Linked DNA regions of Ovis aries. The main gene of each other region encodes a partner of the protein of the gene in region 3 in a complex. Links are inferred from orthologs where the notes say so. Each region holds a gene or a part of one and is shown on either strand. Other genes may lie near its edges. The genes, in order: GNA11, UCN and CRHR2.

Evidence for each region.
Region 1: the proteins of CRHR2 (region 3) and GNA11 are in contact, whole or in part, in a cryo-EM structure (PDB 7TRY), measured with the Homo sapiens proteins. The link is inferred for Ovis aries from reciprocal best matches to the Homo sapiens genes CRHR2 and GNA11. Residues at the interface, in NP_001874.2 of Homo sapiens: Arg148, Tyr208, Leu209, Ala212, Ile213, Thr216, Glu220, Lys293, Lys307, Ala311, Phe358, Tyr359, Phe362, Asn363; in NP_002058.2 of Homo sapiens: Arg37, Ile348, Leu349, Asn352, Leu353, Glu355, Tyr356, Asn357, Leu358.
Region 2: the proteins of CRHR2 (region 3) and UCN are in contact, whole or in part, in a cryo-EM structure (PDB 7TS0), measured with the Homo sapiens proteins. The link is inferred for Ovis aries from reciprocal best matches to the Homo sapiens genes CRHR2 and UCN. Residues at the interface, in NP_001874.2 of Homo sapiens: Phe68, Asn69, Gly70, Val71, Tyr73, Ile101, Leu102, Asp103, Asp104, Arg107, Asp110, Tyr113, Leu117, Asn120, Trp166, Leu169, Gln170, Val172, Asp173, His174, His177, Glu178, Thr188, Phe191, Asn192, Phe199, Phe256, Gly257, Lys258, Asp265; in NP_003344.1 of Homo sapiens: Asn84, Pro85, Ser86, Leu87, Ser88, Ile89, Asp90, Leu91, Thr92, Phe93, His94, Leu95, Leu96, Arg97, Thr98, Leu99, Leu100, Leu102, Arg104, Thr105, Ser107, Gln108, Arg111, Ala112, Asn115, Phe119.

What each region holds. Positions count from the first base shown.
Region 1 is NC_056058.1:18,490,759-18,494,403, forward strand, and holds part of GNA11 (guanine nucleotide-binding protein subunit alpha-11), read right to left. Parts: intron 861-3,645; coding exon 676-860; intron 1-675. UniProt on the Homo sapiens protein: Guanine nucleotide-binding proteins (G proteins) function as transducers downstream of G protein-coupled receptors (GPCRs) in numerous signaling cascades.
Region 2 is NC_056056.1:34,382,478-34,385,720, forward strand, and holds UCN (urocortin), read right to left. Parts: upstream 2,254-3,243; 5' UTR 1,456-2,253; intron 1,195-1,455; 5' UTR 1,182-1,194; coding exon 792-1,181; 3' UTR 632-791; downstream 1-631. Other genes in the region: TRIM54 (tripartite motif-containing protein 54), read left to right, coding at 79-95. UniProt on the Homo sapiens protein: Acts in vitro to stimulate the secretion of adrenocorticotropic hormone (ACTH). Binds with high affinity to CRF receptor types 1, 2-alpha, and 2-beta. Plays a role in the establishment of normal hearing thresholds.
Region 3 is NC_056057.1:67,214,899-67,218,543, reverse strand, and holds part of CRHR2 (corticotropin-releasing factor receptor 2), read right to left. Parts: intron 3,473-3,645; coding exon 3,363-3,472; intron 3,026-3,362; coding exon 2,908-3,025; intron 766-2,907; coding exon 612-765; intron 90-611; coding exon 29-89; intron 1-28. UniProt on the Homo sapiens protein: G-protein coupled receptor for CRH (corticotropin-releasing factor), UCN (urocortin), UCN2 and UCN3. Has high affinity for UCN.

The DNA.
Region 1 (3,645 bases), on a different chromosome or scaffold from region 3:
CTGGACTCCACACTCCACTGCTGGGGACACACCCAGGAGAACGAGGATGCGCACACAACAGAAACTTGCACACGAACATCTCAGTGACATGTCCGAAAGAGCCAGAAAGTAGAGACAACCTCGTGTCCCTCAACGGATGATGAATAAACAGCTGTGGTCCATGCACACACAGAGCATGACTCAGCCACAAAGAGAAGCCTTGGCACTCGCTACCATGTGGACGGACCCTGAGAACATGACGCTCAGCGAGAAAAGCAGACACACAACACACAGGGTGACTCCACCGACGGGAAATGTCCAGAACAGGCCGATCCACACAGACACGATCCACACAGACACGGAGGTGGGTTCCTGGTTGTCAGGGGCTGGGGCAGGAGGATACAGGGGTGGCGGGGGGGGGCGGTTGGTGCGGAGGGGTGACTGCTGATGGGGACATGGTTTCTTTCTGGTATGATAAGAGTGTCCTGGAATTAGAGATAATGGTTGCACAATGCCATGAATATGTTAAAAATGAGTGAAATGCACACTGTAAGTGGATGACTTCATATGTAAATGTTCTCAGTAAAGCTATTACAAAAGAAAGAGGAAGGGTCCCAAAGGTCCGATTCCGCACGCGGAAGGCCTGCTGGACAGGCTGTGAACGGCTGCAGGATGCACAGCAGCACTGGGCCTCACCTTGTTCTGCTCGTACTTGTAGAGGATCTTCAGGGTTTCCATGGCGCGGATCATGGCCTGCATGGCGGTGAAGATGTTCTGGTACACCAGTTTGGTGAAGCCCCGCTTGTCCTCCTCTGAGTAGCCCGCCCCATGGATGATGCGCATCTGCTTGATGAACGTGCTCTTCCCGCTCTCGCCCGTGCCTGCAAACGGCCCAGTGAGACCCCAGCCCTGGAGCCCCACCCATGAGGGGGCAAGGCGGGGACACGCCTGGCCTGGCCCGCTGCTGCCCCTAGAATCAGGCGTCCTCCCCTGCACACCCACATCTACACGGGGAGCCAGGGAACCGAGCCTCTTAGGAGGTCAGGACGATGATGTGGGCAGGGACAGGAGGGGAGCGGCAGCTGCACCTGCAGCAACTGGGGTCTGAATCAACTCCGGCCGCAGCCAAGGAACCCAAGGCTGCAACAGTGAAGTTGGCCTCTCCCGGACGCCACCTGCTTAACTGCGGGTGGCTGCAGGTTCACTCCCAGGTCCCAAGCACCCCTGTATGGCAGTGTCCCACCAATCCCTAGCTGCTCCTCCTCCATAGCTTCCAACCAGAACAGCTTTCCTTCGGGGCATGAGTTTGGCATCTTGCGCACCTCAGGGAGGGGCGCTCAGAGGCTCTACCTCCTGAGAGCTGGGGACCAGAGTCAGCTGCAACCCCCGAGAGGGACCCCGGGGGCCTCTTCGTCCTCCCCTTTCTCACTCAGTGCACAGCGTGCGGGCGCCAGCCCCACCCGGCCCCACGGGCGCCAGCGCTCCCCAGGCCTCTCCTGCTTCAGCCCCTCACTGCCCTGTCACCTCTAAGCGGCAAACCCATCTCCCCACTTTCATTCACCCCCAAGTACAGCCACAGCAATTTTACATTTCAATGTGTCCAGGAATCTCTGTGACACCTCCCTCGCAGAGCCGGAGCCTGATCCCCCTTTCCAACCCACAGAACCAGACCAAGGACAGCCTGGCACTGCGAGACAGTCCCAGAGGGCACTGGGCTCCCTGGTCTCTCTGGGACTCTCTCAGGGGCTGGGGGGTAGCTCCGCAGGGGCCCACATAGACAGGAGCCGTGTGAGGGGCCATGCCGGAACCCTCTCCTCAGAACCTGCCTATGGTTTTCGGCTACTAAGCTACAGGGTGATTTTACTGCACAGCAGGAGAGAACGCTACACCCTAAGGACGCACTGCCTCAATCCCTACTTGATGACAAATGCAGGTCCCACTCACCCATGGACCGAAGGCCCAGGGCCCCCTTCTGGGGACTCAGAATCCCCCAGACTCACCCCAGCCCACCTGCCCAGGCTCATCCTCCTCACCCTGAGTGGCCTGTGCCCCTCACCCTGACTCGGGGGCCTGGGCTGCATGCTCTCCACATACTGTGGGGCTCACAGCCACCTGTGCCATGGGCAGGGGACAGGAGCCCCCCTGCGCTGGGACCGATCACCATGCTTGCGGGGGTCTCTCTCAGGTATCTGTTGCCCGCCTCCTTGCTCAGGCGGGTTCCTGGGGAAGAGACAGGTTCTGAGTGCCCCACATTGTGGTCTGAGTGACCACCTTGTCCTGCAGCAGGAGGCCCTCCACCTGCGTCTGAATAACTGACTGCAGGAGGCCCCATGGGGAGACCCGAGACTCAAGCTGGACAAAGAGGGAGCCTCATGCAGCCGCCCTTTCTAGGATATCCATCAAGGCCCTCGGTCCTTGTCTGGTTCTGTCTCCAAGTGGTGACTACCCCTATGCCACCCTTCGCCTTCCTATCTCTGCACAACACCAACCAGGGCCAGTTGCCCACTCTCACGAAGGCCCCCCAGTTCTGGAGCAGGAGAGGATGACCCCACACCTTCCCGAGAGATCCACGAACCATCATTGCACGGGGTAGGGTGGGGGTGGGCAGGAGGTGGTGGCACACAGGAGTACCATGTCCAGTGCGGTCTCCTCTGGACCAAGGTCCTCCCAGCACCGCTGCCATTGGGCTCATCACAGGTTCTATGAGCTGTGGAGCAGTCTCCTTGCCCCCACCCTCTTGATGCCCCTACCCTCAGTGAAACAACCATGGATGTTCCCCAACAGGGCCCAAGGTCCTCTGGGGGCAGGATCGCCAGGGTAAGAATCACTGGTTTTGATAAAATTCTACTGTAAAAAGATACATGCCCTGCTGGTTGTCTGGACGGGTTTCTCACTGGAAACACCAGACGGTGGCCACTCAAGCCCAAGCCCCTGCAGGCCGCAGGTCAGCCAAGGTAGAGAGGGCAGCCTCTTGTGTTGAGGCCCCTCAACTGCAGGACAGGCAAGTGAACCACGTGAGTGCGAGGGTGCCAGGAGACCAGAGAGCGCTGCCTCTGAGGCAGACATAGCCAGCATCTTCAGAACCGGCACCAGAGGAGTGAGCAGCCCCACACTGCCCCCCAAGGGCAGTGCCAAGCACCAAGGCTCACACACACCAGCACATGGCCTGCACCCAGAGCCAGGGACTGCGGGCAGGGAGTGACCACTAAGGAGCCCTGAATGCAGGCCAGAGAGCGGCCGAGGACAACAGGGATGGCCAAGGGGCCGACACAGACACCGCCAGTGGGACACGCCCCAACCGAGAAACGGAAGATGGACCCCAAGGAAGCTGGAAACACGATCAACCCTGGAGACACGGGGGGCCTGGATAGGGCATGTGGCCCAAATCCTGCCAGCGCAGAGAAGCCGCTGTGAAGACAGAGCCGTGATCCAGGCCAGGAGCAAAAGGCACTGGTGAGGTGACAGGGCGAGATGGCCTTGACTGGCAATCACGTCACAGTGCCTGTGCCGAGTCCAACACAGCTCAGGGCGCATCTCAATTAAACCAGGTAGAACACAGCAAAAGGGACACCGCGGGACCAGAGTGGGACATGGCAGCGTCACTTTGCCAGGAAGAACAGAGAAAAGCAAGGGGGCGGGGGGCGGGGGGCAGTGGTGGCCACAGAG
Region 2 (3,243 bases), on a different chromosome or scaffold from region 3:
CTTAGAGAAACGAGTGAGCTGGGCTTCGGAATTGCCTTGTTTCTTGGGAGCGCCCGCCCACTGAGCTTTCTTTCCCAGGCACAGGCCAGCACTGACTCGCTCCTGTTGCGGATCCTGCGCACCCGGGTCCTGGCGCTCGGATGGTGAACGACCTGAGCAGAGACCACCGTACCACCCAGCCCGGCGTGGCGCCGCGGGGGAGGGGCTCAATAAAGAGTTAATGCGTCCCGACCCGCAGCTCCTTTCACTGCTCACTCTCTGAGCTTCTGCTTCGGAGACATAGCATCACCATCCATCCTGCCCTTCTCCAAATCTGGGACCTCTTGGGGCGAGGACGGGTGGGGGTGGGGTGTGTGAAGCGGAACGAACCCTTATGGGGCACCTCCTTGACATTAGGCACGGATTCGCGAGCCCAGAGCCAAGAGAAGAGGGCAGGGGGGTGGGGCGGCGACACTGGGGCTTGACTTCCTGGAGACTTGGAGACGATGGGGACCCCAGGACCCTGGCAGAAAGCGGTTCTCACGGAGCCCTCCCACAGCATCTGGTTCCCTCTCGCCGGCCTGGGAGACCCCACTTCCCCGCGGGCTCACACCCTTCTGTGGCTCCCCGCGCCCCCACAACAGAGGCCAACGGCTCTTCAGCACTTTTATTAAAAACCGGTAACGCGGAGAGTGCTCAGGGTATCCCTAGGCCGCTCTAGCCCTGCAGGACTTGGTCAGTTCCTGTCGCTCACGTCTCAACCCTGAGGTGGAGCATGGGGGTCGAGATTGTCGGGGCCCGAGACCCGCCGATCACTTGCCCACCGAGTCGAATATGATGCGGTTCTGCTCGGCGCGCTCCCTCTGGCTCTGCGTCCGCGCGAGTTCCAGCAGGGTCCGTAGTAGGTGGAAGGTGAGGTCAATGGACAGGGGAGGGTCGTCTCGTCGCTGCCGCTCACCTGCCGTCCTGGATCCCCATCGGCCCTGCTCCGCCCGGCGGCGCGGGAAGCGCTCCGCCAGCAGCAAGAGGAGAGCGTGGGCCCCGCCGCCGTGGTTCCGAGTCCCGGGGCTCCAGCGCAGACTCGGATCTCGGAACCCGGCGGCCGCCGCCTCCTCCTCCCGACTCCACTGGCTGCTCCCCGGGCGCAGCTGTGCCAGGAGCAGCAGCGCGGCCAGCAATGCCGCGCGTCCCGCCGTCCTCATGGTCCCGCCGGCCCTGGACACACAGGGGCAGCGCAGTGTGAGGTGCGCCTCGGGCAGTCTCAGGGGACGCCGCTCCCCTTCCCGAGCACGTCCAGCGCCCCTGCCCGGCCCCTGCGACTGCCGTCAGGTGCCCACAGCCTTCCCACCAGCCCCAGCCGCTCCCAGTCCTGTGCCACCCTTTTCTCCCTGCCTCCTTCTTGGGGTGTCGCGTTGGGTGAGCTGAGCGCTGTCCTAGTGCTGAGGGAGTCTGGGCAGACGCGCAGAAGCCACTCACAGTTCGCAGGAGAGCAGAGCCTCTGCACCCTGCAGGATGGAGCTCCAGTCTCTGTCCCTCGGGGAGGGCTGAGGGCGCCACGGGGAACACGGGGTCTGTCCCGGGACCTTCGCCAGCCTTATATAGCGCCAGAACAGCTCCGGCTGACGTCAGCGAGGAACATGCACTGATTGTAGAGCAATGACGGCCGCAACTCTGAGTCCGACCCTATGGCTGCGAGACCCCAGGAGCGCGCCGGAGGACACCAGACTTTGTGTCTCTGGAAATGACACTGGACTCAAGAGAAAGAGAAGCCTTCTGGGGCGTAAAGATTGCTCTGGGAGCCACGAGAGTCCTTCACTCACTTAGAACAGCCAGCAGGGACTAGGGGGACCGGTCAGTCCCCAGACTAGTCCAGATCTCCAACCTTCTCTGGAACAGGAAAGGGAGGCAGGACGGTGGTGCTGTCCATGGTGCTGACCTTGTGCTCAGCCTCTGAAAGGGGCCAGAGACCTTGGGGAAAATGCTGTGCTGCTCAGATCCAGTCCCTTGCCCCAACTATCTGTTCTATAAATGGAGGCAGTCAGGATGGCACTGCTAGCATTCAGCTACCACAATGGTACCCTACCCAAAAGGCAGTTTGAGCTGCCAGGATTCTTGATCTTCTTCCAGCCCCAGGATCTAAATCCTAGGGCTGTCTGTCCGACGTGCCTAAAAAAGAGGGCCTCTCGAGCCGGGGTGCTTTCAGATAACAAAGGCTGATCCATCTGCTTCTTGGTTTGCCTCAAAGCTGAAGTTTAGCCAAGTTAAATTTTCTCCTGGGAATCACAGCAGCAATATTATTTTATCGCAGACCTCTAGGTTAAGATCACTGAGTAGGAAGTAAGAAAACTTGGCTTCTTAGTCTTTTTGAGCTGGTATAACAAAAATATCAAAAGCTGGGTGGCTTATAAACAACAAGCATTTATTTCACCACAGTTCTTGAGGCCAGGAAGTCCAAGATCACAGTACCAGTAGGTTTACTGTCCACTGAGGACCTGCTTCTTCCTGTCTTCTCAGGTGGCCTCTTTTGTAAGCACCAGGTCCCTACCCTCATGACCGAATCACTTCCCAAAGGTCTCACCTCTGATACCATCACCTTGGGCATTAGGTTTTCACCATATGAACTTGGGGAGATACAAACATTCAAATGATGATAGCACATGTTCGTGTTTCTACTCTGCCACTAACTCACAGTGTGGACAGGTCACTTTACTTCTATGGACCTCAGTGTCCTCATCTGTAATAGAAGATTGGGGTTTGGGGGTCTCCAGACTTCTTTCCAAACCCTGGAAAATGAGACTCCCCAGTCATTTTCTGCTGGGTCTTACTCATTGCCTCTGCAGCTTCCAGATTACCTATTTAGAAATATATTTACAGAGGCACCCTATAGAGAGTTTGAGGGGATCTCCCCCAAATTGGAGCTACACTGAGGCTGGGAAGGGTTAGGAAAACAGCTGTCTATGAAGACTGGGGAAAAGTGGCATCTTCCAGGATGAGCGTATAATCTAAAGTTGACAAAATGATGTTTCAACAAATATTTATGGAGTGCCTACTGTGTGGTGCGTTTTAGCCATTTCAATAGGAGTCAGGTTACATTTTAGAGTGAAATGGGCCATTTCAGGGTGCTAACCCCATTAAATTCTGACCAGCCACCGAACCCTGTGAAGACCAATGTGCCCACTTTGAAGAGGTGGTCTGATCCTTCCAGGGTCAAGGTGCATCACTACAAGATGGAAGTGACGGAGTGAAGCCGACTTAGAGCCGGTG
Region 3 (3,645 bases):
CTGCTCACTGCTGGCCAGTCCTACTTACTGTTCATTCTCGTAGTAGAGCTTGCCAATGGCCCAGGCAATGACGATGGGGCAGGGGACACCTGAAAGAAGGACAGACACTGCTGCAGTGGACAGAGAGATGGTCAGGACACCCTCTTGAAGAGCAGAGTCGGGGGACCACACAGGGCTAGGACATTGTTTCCAATCATTCAACTGCAGGCCATCTAGGACCTTGGGGGCCCCTGTTCCTAGACCCCTGCCCCACCCCTCCCCCACTCTCAGCTATCCCCTCCAAGCAGGTCAGAGAGATGAGAGGACAGTGTGATTTTCTGAGATTTTTGATACAGAAGTGGAGCTGGCCAGCTTCTCTTTTGAGGAGAGACACAAAGGTCTTTGGATCAGCCACTCCAAGCAAGAAGAGGAGGACCATTTGTGGACTGTGCTCTTGGAGGGACCATTTGCTTTTCCCTCGTCTATATGGAGGAGAGTGCCTGCCTCCTCAGGCTGTCCTGGGGATGGTAGACAGCAATGTGGTCCCGTCCTTGGACCCAAGATGAAAGGAGGTGACCCTGTCAGCAGAATCCTCTCCCCACTCGACCCTGCAGGCCCCCCGGGACCCTCACACCATCCAATGAAGAGGAAGAGCCACTTGCGCAGGCGCTCAGTGGAGTAGGTCATGACAATGGCCGTGTGCAGGTAGCAGCCCTCTACGAACATCCAGAAGAAGTTGGTCACCACGAAGTAGTTGAAGACGGTGGTGACGCAGCGACACCAGACCTGCACAGGCAGGCGGCAGTCAGCAGGTGCCTGGAGCCAAGCCCCCCAGTGCACAGCTCGAGCGCTGACAGAGGGGAGTCATTGAGTTAGGTCACGGACACGGAATTAGACACTCTCGAGTCTCATTCGGGGAAACGTCATCCTTCATCATTTCTCTTTCAGTTTTTCAGATTAAGGGGCCAGGCTCCCCTGGAACCAGGGTGTCTGACTTCTTTCTGGTGATTTCTAATCTCCTTCTTCATAAAAGAAAGTGGGAGTCTGGCTCTGAGCTTTCTGCAGGGAGAGGCTAGAACTGAACAGCACTGCTGTGTATCACTGTCATTTTCTCCAGCACATGTATTGGGCTCAGTAGCCCAGTAACGCGACCCCATAGACTGTAGCCTGCCAGGCTCCTTTCTGCATGGGATTTTGCCAGCAAGGAGACTGGAGCAGGTTGTCATTTCCTCCTCTGGGGGATCTTCCTGACCCAGGGATCGATTGAACCCATGTCTCCTGTCTCAGCAGGCGGATTCTTTACCACTGAGCCACCTGGGAAGCCTATTTTTTCGAGGATCACCTTCAGTTCACAGCAAATCAGCCTGGTTTCCATTTAGGGACGGACTATGAAATTTCATGCAGAAAAAAAATAGTGAGTCAATTAAAAGAAAACTGCTATTGAAATAGTACAGGGTCTGTGAAGGTGAGCCACAGCTCTGGAGGTGATCCTCCCAGATTCCTGGGTTTAGGAAATCCTGGGCTTAGCATGATAGCAGCTGTCTCTGGAATGGAGAAGGAAATAGCAACCCACTCCAGTCTTCTTGCCTGGAGAATCCCAGGAGGGAGAGCCTCGTAGGCTGCTGTCTATGGGGACATGACTGAAGCGACTTAGCAGCAGCAGCGGTCTACTGAGGGAGACTCGCTAATGCTGGGGCCTCTAGCAAGTGGCCATACCTCTCTGAATCTCACTGCATTGTAGAGAAAAAGACAATGCCATCTTACAGGCTGGTTCCAGGAGATGGAGGTGGCAAAGGCAGGCACCATGAAATGAATGCCATTGCCACGTGCCTCCTTAGTCGAGGGGAATTTGTCCTCGTCCCTCTGAGCAGAGTTACTACCACTCCCTCAGAGGACAAGCCTGCCCAGAGCCACCGTGTGCCATGGCCAGGTCTGGCTTCAGGCCAGACCTCTTCTCAATGGACCCTACCTGGCCATTTTTCCTGGGGATTTGTCCCCAGGGCACCCTCGGAGCTGAGAGCGTGGGCAGTGTGGGAAGTGGACTGTGGACGGCTCAGCCCAATAGCCTTGGCTGTCAGAGCATCAGCTGAGCTGATCTCAGCCTCTGTGGCTTCCCCTCATGATCCCAGCCCCAGTCTTAGGCTCCACGTGGCTGTCTGTTTTCCCTGTTCTGAGAAAGTCCTGCTGAGGAGGGACTCCAAAGATCCTCTCCTCCAAATCCTGCTTTCCCTCCCAAAGCTTAACAATGCCTTGTCAATACAAGCCAACAGTGGGCTGCACGACACCCCAAACTGGTTGAATCCCATTGATGCCAAGGCAAGGCTCAACAAGGGGCCAAGTCAAAAGGCAAGCCAGGCTGGGTGTGTGCTCAGAACTAGCCATCCAAAGACAATGTGTTGAGCAGTCTCTAATAGTGGATAGAAGAGCTCTGTGCATGGCTCTGTTTCACAACCTGGATGCTGTATAACAGCGGCTGACACAAATCCAGGGTGGGCAGCTAATGTGCTGTTCTGCTCAATGGCCTGACGGCCCAGTTGCAGAGGCATCATAACAATGTCATCTAACCTTTCTGAGCCTTGGTTTCCATGTCTGGAAAATTCCAGTAGGAAAATTCCTACAACTCTCTGATTGGAATCAAGTGAGCTAAAGCTCAATAGAGGTTAATTTCAGCCCCCTTTCCTCTAAGGGACCTTAGGGAGGTGCTGAATGCACAAGACGGGGAGTGGAACAGGATAAACCAAAGTCTGGTGTCTGGTCTGAGCTGCTCTCAAGACCCCATCTGGAGCCCCATTCCCCGACCCCCAGCTCTGGAGGGACAATGATGTGGTAGAGGTGAGCTCAGGTTCAGGTCCGCATGTGAAGATGGGGTGAGAGAGGTGGGAGCCCCCAGAGCCCCCCGGGGCCCAGCCCCAAACCTCCACCCACGACCTCATTGTTCTCGTGCACTTCGTGGTCGATGAGCTGCAGCAGGAACCACATGACATTCCGCAGGATAAAGGTGGTGATGAGATTCCAGTGAATCACGTTCCGCAGACAGCGAATGCTCCTGTGCGAGACCCAGGACAGCTGTCAGCCGGGACAGGCTGCACCTGGGCTCAGAGCTCAGCTGGGGCAGGGGACAGGGGTCAGCTGGGCCTGTACCCCTCCCTCTGACCCGAGGTGAGGGAGAGACTTAGCTTGGGATGAAGGCAAGGCAGTCCTCCAGAGCCAGCACCCCTTTTGCATTCTGCATACCTGCTAGTGGTCAGTGCTCTGGTGTCTCCCCTGGCCCCTTCTGTCCATTGGCCCCAGGGTTGCCGGAGTGGAGGTGAGCATGTCTGGGATGGGTGAAGGGGATGCCATGGCGGGGAGGGCGGAGAAAAAGCAGGGGTGGGGTGGCTCACCGCAGGGCCAGGAAAAGCAGGAAGGCACCCACGAGGGCTGCCACGGACACGCAGTGGCCCAGGTAGTTGACGATGAGTGCGATTCGGTAGTGCAGGTCATACTTCCTCTGCTGGACAGACAGATAGACACACAGGCAGCTGGAGGCCTGGGGCATGCGGCTGCTCTAGCGATGGCCACCCAGTGCGTCCTGACCTCGGGGGCAGAAGAGGCTCCAGGTGTCGCCAGCACACCTGGCTCCCACAGCTCTCTCCTGTCGGCCCTGCGTGGCTCTTGGTATAAATG